Linked DNA regions of Mus musculus: region 2 is reported to be linked to region 1. Evidence: microRNA targets listed by miRTarBase, many of them from high-throughput screens and not tested one by one. Region 1 holds a microRNA gene; the other region holds the end of a gene's coding sequence.

Region 1 (4,423 bases):
TCATTCAAATGGATCAATGAGTGTCATTCTTATGTGTGTGAGTGTGCATGCCTGTGTGTGTGAATACATTTTATATGTGTGTGTATTTATATGTATGATCATATACACACATGTACGTGCACACACAATTATATGCACTTTTGCATACCTAGGATCCATCACACAAATACAGGGTGATCTCTAACTCATTATGAAGTTAAGCATGAATTTGAACTCCTGAGACTCCTAACTCTGGCAAGTGGTTTTCATTTGATAAGTGAGATTTTTCCCTATACCATGAATATACACTCAATGAAACTCAAAGCACGCATAAATCAAATGGATGACTGCCATGTGTGTTTGTGTGCACATGTATGTGTCCCTAGTTGTGTGTGTGTGTGTGTATACATATATACATATATATACATATATATATATGCATGTTCATATACGCGCATGTACAGGCATACTTCCCTATACACATAAACACAAACACAGGGAAAATCACATGAATTCCGGGCTGATCTCTAACTCATCATAAAGTTAAACATGAATTTGAACTACTCATCCTCATGATGCTGGCAAGAGTATTCACCTCCTAACTGAGTCATAGCTCGGGCCATTCGTGGGAATATGTTTGCATGTGAGTATATGCATATTCATATACAGAAGTGAATATATACACAACTATACACACATGCACATTCTTGGTGGGCATCACATGAATCGCATACTGAACTCTAACTCATCATGAAGTTAAACATAAATTTGAATTCCTCATCCTCCTGACACTGGCAAGAGTACTCACCTCCTAACTGAGACATAGCTCTGGCCATTCCTATGAATGTGTGTGCATGTGTGTATATGCATATTCATATAGAGAAGTGAATATGCACACAACTATACACACATGCAAATTTTTGATGGGCATAAGATGAATCCCATGCTGGTCATGAACTCATCATGAAATTCAGCACAAATTTGAACTCCTGATCCACCTGACTCTGTCAAGGGATTTCACCTGCTGAGTGAGACCTCTCCCCATTCAGTACTGAGGAATCTTAAAACTCTAAGTCACACGTCATTCAAATGGATCGATGAGTTGCACTGATGTTTGTGTGTGTGTTTCTGTTTGTGTCTGTGTACATGTATATATTTGTGTAGATAGGTACATCCATATACTCAAATCCACACACAATAGAAACAGATACAGATAGGGATACATAGGGGCATCACATGAATCCCAGGCATATCTTAAAGTCATCATGAAGTAAAGCATGAATTTGAACTCCTGATCCACAATCTTTCACACCTGGTGAGTAAAACCATTCACTGTCCCAAACTGCATAATCTAAAACTTTAAGTCACATATCATTCAAACGTATAAATGAATGCAATTTTTTTCTCTGTGTCTGTACTTGCATATACACGTGTGTTTATATTTTGTATATCATGTCAACAGAGGCAATGCATATACAAGTAAACACACATGCACATACATGGGTGGCCTCACATGAATACCAGGATGATCTCTAACTGAATTAAGCATGAATTTGCAATCCTTATCCTCCTGACTTTGTCAATCTTTTACACCTGGTGGGTGAGACCATTCAATGTCCCCTATTGCATAATCGCTAAAACTCTACATCACTTATCATTCAAAGGGATTGGCGAATGCCATTCCTGTGTCTGTGTATGTGTGCTTGCGTTTATACGTGTGTGTGTATGTTATGTATATTCAAATATAGACATGAACATGCACACACAACTATACACACATGCACATACATGGAGGAATCACAGGCTGATCTCTCATGAGGATAAGTATGAATTTGAACTCCTGATACCCTTAACTCTAGCAAGCATTTTCACTCTAAGTCACTTATCACTCAAATGGATTGATGAGTGCCATTCCCATGTGTCTGTGTGCTCATATGTGTCTTATGTGTGCGTGTATGTATATGTATATCATATTCACATATGTACATGTACACACACATCAACACATACACACATACATAGGGGCAATCACATGAATGCCAGGATGACCTCTAACACATCATGCCTTTACCATGAACTTGCACTCCTGATCTTCCCGACTCTACCAAGGGTTTCCCGTGGTTTGTGAGACCTCACCCTGGCCCAGTCATACATAACCTCCAAAGCAGTAGGTCACATATCATTCAAATGGATCCGTGAGTGCCATTCCCGCATGTCTGTGTGCATGTGTGTGTAGGTGTGTGTATGTATATGCATAAAATATACACGCATATACATGCAGGCACTTACGCACACAGGCACATACATAGGGGCCATCACATTATTCCAGGATGATCTCTAACTGCTCATGAAGTTAAGCATAAAATTGAACTCCTGATCTTCCTGACACTGCCAATTGTTTACACCTGGTGAGAGAGAATATTCACTGTCCCTCTACTTTATAATCAGCAAAATTCTAAGACATATATCATTCAAATGGATCAATGAGTGTCATTCTTATGTGTGTGAGTGTGCATGCCTGTATGTGTGAATACATTTGTATGTGTGTGTATTTACAGGGATGATCATATATACACATGTACGTGCACACACAATTATATGCAAATGTACATAACTAGGGTCGATCCCACAAATCCAGGGTGATCTCTAACTCATCATGAAGTTAAGCATGAATTTGACCTCCTGAGACTCCTAACTCTGGCAAACAGTTTTCATTTGATAAGTGAGATTTTTCCCTATACCATGAATATAAACTCAATGAAACTCTAAGCACGTATAAATCAAATGGATGACTGCCATGTGTGTTTGTGTGCACATGTATGTGTCCCTAGTTGTGTGTGTGTGTATATATATATATATGTATGTATATATATATATATATATATATATATATGCATGTTCATATACGTGCATGTACAGGCATACTTCCCTATACACATAAACACAAACACAGGGAAAATCTCATGAATTCCGGGCTGATCTCTAACTCATCAAAAAGTTAAACATGAATTTGAACTGCTCATCCTCATGATGCTGGCAAGAGTATTCACCTCCTAACTGAGTCATAGCTCGGGCCATTCGTGGGAGTATGTTTGCATGTGAGTATATGCATATTCATATACAAAAGTGAATATGTACACAACTATACACACATGCACATTCTTGGTGGACATCACATGAATCGCATGCTGAACTCTAACTCATCATGAAGTTAAACATGATTTTGAACTCCTCATCCTCCTGACACTGGCAAGAGTGCTCACCTCCTAACTGAGACATAGCTCTGGCCATTCCTATGAATGTGTGTGCATGTGTGTATATGCATATTCATATAGAGAAGTGAATATGCACACAACTATACACACATGCACATTTTTGGTGGGCATAAGATGAATCCCATGCTGGTCATGAACTCATCATGAAATTCAGCACGAATTTGAACTCCTGATCCAACTGACTCTGTCAAGGGATTTCACCTGCTGAGTGAGACCTCTCCCCATTCAGTACTGAGGAATCTTAAAACTCTAAGTCACACGTCATTCAAATGGATCGATGAGTTGCACTGATGTTTGTGTGTGTGTTTCTGTTTGTGTCTGTGTACATGTATATATTTGTGTAGATAGGTACATCCATATACTCAAATCCACACACAATAGAAACAGATACAGATAGGGATACATAGGGGGCATCACATGAATCCCAGGCATATCTCTAAGTCATCATGTAGTAAAGCATGCATTTGAACTCCTGATCCACAATCTTTCACACCTGGTGAGTAAAACCATTCACTGTCCCACTACTGCATAATCTTGAAAACTTTAAGTCACATATCATTCAAACGTATAAATGAATGCAATTTTTCCTGTGTGTGTGTGCTTGCAGATACACGTGTGTTTATGTTATGTATATCATGTCAACACATACAATGCACATACAAGTAAGCACACATGCACATAAATGGGTTGCATGACATTAATACCAAGATGTCTCCAAATGAAGTTAAGCATGAATTTGCAATCCTTATCCTCCTGACTTTGTCAATCTTTTACACCTGGTGAGTGAGGCCATTCAATGCCCCCTATTGCATAATCTCTAAAACTCTACATCACTTATCATTCAAAGGGATTGGCGAATGCCATTCCTGTGTCTGTGTATGTGTGCTTGCGTTTATACGTGTGTGTGTATGTTATGTATATTCAAATATAGACATGAACATGCACACACAACTATACACACATGCACATACATGGAGGAATCACAAGCTGATCTCTCATGAGGATAAGTATGAATTTGAACTCCTGATACTCTTAACTCTAGCAAGCATTTTCACTCTAAGTCACTTATCACTCAAATGGATTGATGAGTGCCATTCCCATGTGTCTGTGTGCTCATATGTGTCTTATGTGTGCGTGTATGTATATGTATATCATATTCACATATGTAC
Region 2 (4,423 bases), not on the chromosome of region 1:
TTCTGCAAACTCAGGGGACTTTATAATCAAAGAAGCCAGTTTACAGTCTGAGAAGAACACACGTTTATTTTGAAACTTAACATATAGAACATTTGCTTAAGATCAGTAATGCATTTTAAGGATACACAAGCAAAACATGCTGAAAGAAATAAAAAGTTAAGTGTATAATAGGAAATAGTCTGGCTAGTTGATGAGATTTGAAAAGGCTGCTAGTGACCAAAGGGATATATGTAAAGACTGTAAGAGTGTTAATGTTATAGATTATTATTATTTTGCTTCTAGGAATTGCAAATATTAAGCTCTTCCTAATTTCAATATTTTAAGTGACTTTTATGGCATTCTTTGGAGTAAATCATGGGTGTGTGTAATGCTCATCATATACCGGGAGAACATGGCCCACAGAATCAACTAAGCAGGGCACATAGGGTCTCACAAACCCAGGAATGGTAATCAGGAGGTTTGAAGCAATTGTGAGTCCGCATAGGTCTGAGCTAGGTGCTCTGCATAATACATTGTGGTTGTGTAGCTTGGTCTTTTTGTGGGACTCCTAACAGTGGGAGTGTGGATGTTCTGACTCTTTTGCCTGTTCTTGGGACGCTTTTTGTCTTACTTGGTTGATAAGAGGGTTTATGCCTGTCTTATTGTAACTTGTCATAGTATGTTTGGTTGAGATCCCTGGGAGACATGCTGTTTTCTGAAGGGAAGTGGAAGAAGAGTGGATCTAGGGAAGAGGGCAGATGGGGAGGAGGAGAACTGGAGGGAGGTGAAGGAGGGGAAATTGGAGTTGGGATATAATACATGAGAGGATAAGTAAAAAAGAAATAATAAAAAGTCATACAAATATACATGTATAAGTAAAAAATAAAATAAAAATCTTTCTTTAAAAAGCACACACTTTAATGTATCATCAATCCATCCTCCCTCTCTCTCTCTCTCTCTCTCTCTCTCTCTCTCTCTTTCTCTCTCTCATTTGTCAATCAAGTATCTCTTATCTGCTTGTCGCAAGAGCATAATATATCTGTCCTATTAAAAAATAAAGGCACAGTGATAATGGAAGGTATAATTTTGTATAGTAAACCTTTAGGGACTATCCATCATGTATACTGGAATCTTTGTACTTGAAAATGATGACACAGATACCTAGCAAATTAAGAATGTAAATTCTGGCAACAGAATGTCCAGAGTTCAATCTTGGTTCTGTAGCTTGCTGGCAAAATGAGGATAGTAATGATATGTACTCTGCAGGGCATTTGTATTTATAAATTGACACAGGTAAAATATTTAAAACATTTAAAAAGCTTTTAAAATTAAAATTACACACACACACACACACACACACACACACACACACACACAATAAATGTTATATAATCCCATGTAGAGATGTAATTTGTAACCTCAAGGAATTGATAATTCTACACAGAACACTTCCCTTTAGGAGAAAATACTAATACACATGGAGAAACTGGAGAAAGTAGTAAGAAGTAAGTTGTATGGCATAGGCTATAAAGACATAATTCAAGAAAGAACAATACATTCATTGTGAGTTTGCAGGTGACTGAAGTTTTGTGCCATATCTATATGGTACACGTAGGTACATATGTGAGTGGAACAGCAAATACAAACAAAAGCTTGGACATAGGAATAAATGAGCAAAATGATTATATGCACTAGAATTTAACTATGTCAATGTCTTGTTCAAATTCTTTCAAAATTAAAAATGGATACAATAAATATGAATTAGCATATTTAACAACTCTCCTATAAATACTTTACACTTGATCTTAGCCAAAAGGCTGAGAAGGGATAAATACTTTAAAGTGGCATCTTACTATATATATTTTAGGATACAATTTTAGCATATCTAACCACCTTTGAGTCCTTCAAATGGCCATAAGAAAGCATAACAAGTATCATTCTTATCTTACAGCTGAGAAAGTTAAGGTTTTAGGCTTACAAATTTCACTCAAAAGTATGTTAACTTTGTTAAGTTAAGAAAGACCAGGTTAAAAGAGATCAGGTTCACATGCAGACATCTTGGCTTCCAGTGCCATGCTCTCCCACCACAAAGCAGAAATGTAGCAAATGAGACCTGATGTCTTTTGACAAATATGTTTGATATTTGTTTCAAGCAAGAGGAACGAGAGTAATATAGACACTGCCAATTTTCAGACATGTTCAACAGAAATCAACAAGTTCCAGTTATTTTTCATCCTTAGAGTCCTCTCTTTATTATGCTTTAAACACAATTTCCCAAGGGGTCCAGCAGAAGTGAAATAGAAAAAGTTTTCACGTAGCTGATACTGACACAACTCCATTCATGGTTTTTCTTTTTCCCATCTCTGCTATCATTTATTTCTTCTGAGTTGATGTGACTTTTGAAACTCATAGTTAGGAAAAAAGTGGCCTTCAGCAAAACTTTGTCAATGAATATCATATTTTAGTCACAACCAAGCTGTTTTCAATGGTTTGGTTTAAGAACAAAGCTTCTGCTATAATATAAAAATCACTGTAAACAAATATTACTTTCAACATGCTAATAAAAAAGAAATAAGTATAAAACAACAATAAATCTCATAATTAACTAACAATAAATGCATATCATAGAACAAGATAGATTACATATATTTATATACATACATATAAATGCATATACTTATTAAAAGTATTAATGACATGGATATTCAAATTTTCTTCTGCTATCTAACATAGTAAATTTTGATTCCAACAAATCTCATGTAGAAAGGTAGGCCTATTTTCTTTACTTCTGATGAATTTTGACTTCTTCTGTCATATATGGGAATGCCAGTTGCCTTACTTATTAAGGAAGGATTATAGGTAGAATAGGGATTGAACCACTGTGAGCAAGAACACCATTCTTTTGCCGGTGCTTGAGTCAAGGGCAGAAGAGAATTAGAGACAAACTGGCCTTTGATCAGATTTATCTTCCTTATTTTTCCATATTGTAAATTTCATGCAGCCTGTGGAGCTATTTGGCTGAATATTGGTCTGTTCTGGTACTTGAACATTCTCTTCTGGAAGACAGGGCACTACTTTACCTAGCTAGTCAGTACTACAAAGGAAACGGCTGACCAAATGTACGTCCCGAGTCATCTCCAGGTCTCATCTGATGGCATGCATGCAAAGGGAGATGTTAGGGTGACTGATGACTATTTGCTAATTTTAAAACTATATTTAAAAGCTGAACTCAAAAGTCTAGTAGGTAGCCTTTTAAATCCCTTTTATATTCTTGATTTCATACTCAGTTTTATAGTTCAGAACCATAAACATTCTTAAGTTTCTGGTGAGTCTTCAAAAAGAAATCTATGGGTTAGTTCACAGTTATAAATTGAGTTTTGAACACTTAAAATATCAAATAATAGTATTTATAAATGAAATAGATATAATTATTTGTAAACTATTAATGGGAAACATTTTTTTTTAATTTTGATTTAGAAAAACACTCGTTAGGGAATTTCTTTTTCATTGTTCTGCACTGTAGATGAGTTTGAATTATTCGTTACATATTTCTTCTCCTTTTTCTGGCAAGGAAGCTTTCTTCTTGGGTACATAAGTCATACTGGACAAAGAATGCTTTCTAAATGTAGATAGCCTTCTCCTAAAGTTTCCACCTGAAAAGAAATATAGCAGAGGATCAAAGCAACAATTTGATGCAGCTAGAGATAAGGTTATGACCACTGACTTCTGCATCCTAAGGACAGAATCACAGGGTCTAGTTTCACTGTGTAAAAGGTGAAGGTGGATAGTTCGTTGAATATGATATGGCATGAAGCTCACTAAAAAGGCAGCTGTCACAACTATGATCATCCCTATAGCCTTCCTACGACTTGGCATGTTTTTCTTCATTGTATTTTTTAGTAAGGTCAGAATGATCATTGTGTAACAGACAATTATGGTGACAAAAGGGATGATGAAACCAAAGAATAATGACACATAATGCAAGATCAAAACGTATTTTTTAGCTTGATTGTTCTGTGGAGGCTCAAAGCATTTAGTATTGTTTTTCTCATCTTGGTAAGATTTGTACATTAAAAAGGGAGAACTTGTCAAAATCACAAAAATCCAAATTCCAATGCAAACGAACCTGGCTTTTTTCTGTGTAACCAAATTAATGTTCTGGACTGGAAAGACAATTGCAACACACCGGAAAAAGCTCATGGCTGTCATAAAGAAGATGCTACAATAGAGGTTAACGTACAAGGCATAGGTGGTGAGGCGGCACAAAAAGTCACCAAAGAGCCACTTGCCTTTGTGAACATAATAGACCACACGGAGAGGCAATGTACATACACAGAGTAGATCTGCTATGGCTAGATTAATCATGTATACTTGGAAGGCTGATTTCTCATGGTATGTTTTTATGAGGACATAGAGCACAAAGCTATTGCCAAAGAAACCCACA

What was found. Region 1 holds the annotated microRNA mmu-miR-669j (UGCAUAUACUCACAUGCAAACA, at 3,069-3,090, opposite strand). A microRNA usually pairs through its seed, bases 2 to 8, with sites in the 3' UTR of a target mRNA and lowers its output. Matches are read on the target gene's strand: a 7mer-m8 pairs with bases 2 to 8, a 7mer-A1 pairs with bases 2 to 7 and ends in A, and an 8mer does both.
Region 2: miRTarBase lists Cysltr1 as a target of mmu-miR-669j. Seed matches in the 3' UTR shown: 8mer at 2,648-2,655 and 7mer-A1 at 2,596-2,602.

What each region holds. Positions count from the first base shown.
Region 1 is chr2:10,476,656-10,481,078 of GRCm38, reverse strand. It overlaps Mir669j (microRNA 669j), which reads right to left and starts at 3,169; the gene lies at 3,049-3,169. The region is part of intron 10 of Sfmbt2 (Scm-like with four mbt domains 2); the gene reads right to left. Mir669a-1 (microRNA 669a-1) reads right to left here and starts at 4,226; the gene lies at 4,130-4,226. It overlaps Mir669g (microRNA 669g), which reads right to left and starts at 3,929; the gene lies at 3,807-3,929. It also overlaps Mir467a-2, Mir466e, Mir669a-4 and Mir466b-8.
Region 2 is chrX:106,574,307-106,578,729 of GRCm38, forward strand. Cysltr1 (cysteinyl leukotriene receptor 1) reads right to left here. Exons shown (of 4, transcript NM_021476.5): 4 at 2,203-4,423. The coding sequence ends at 3,514. Among named protein-coding and RNA genes, the nearest start is that of Gm5127, 6.7 kb to the right of the region's middle.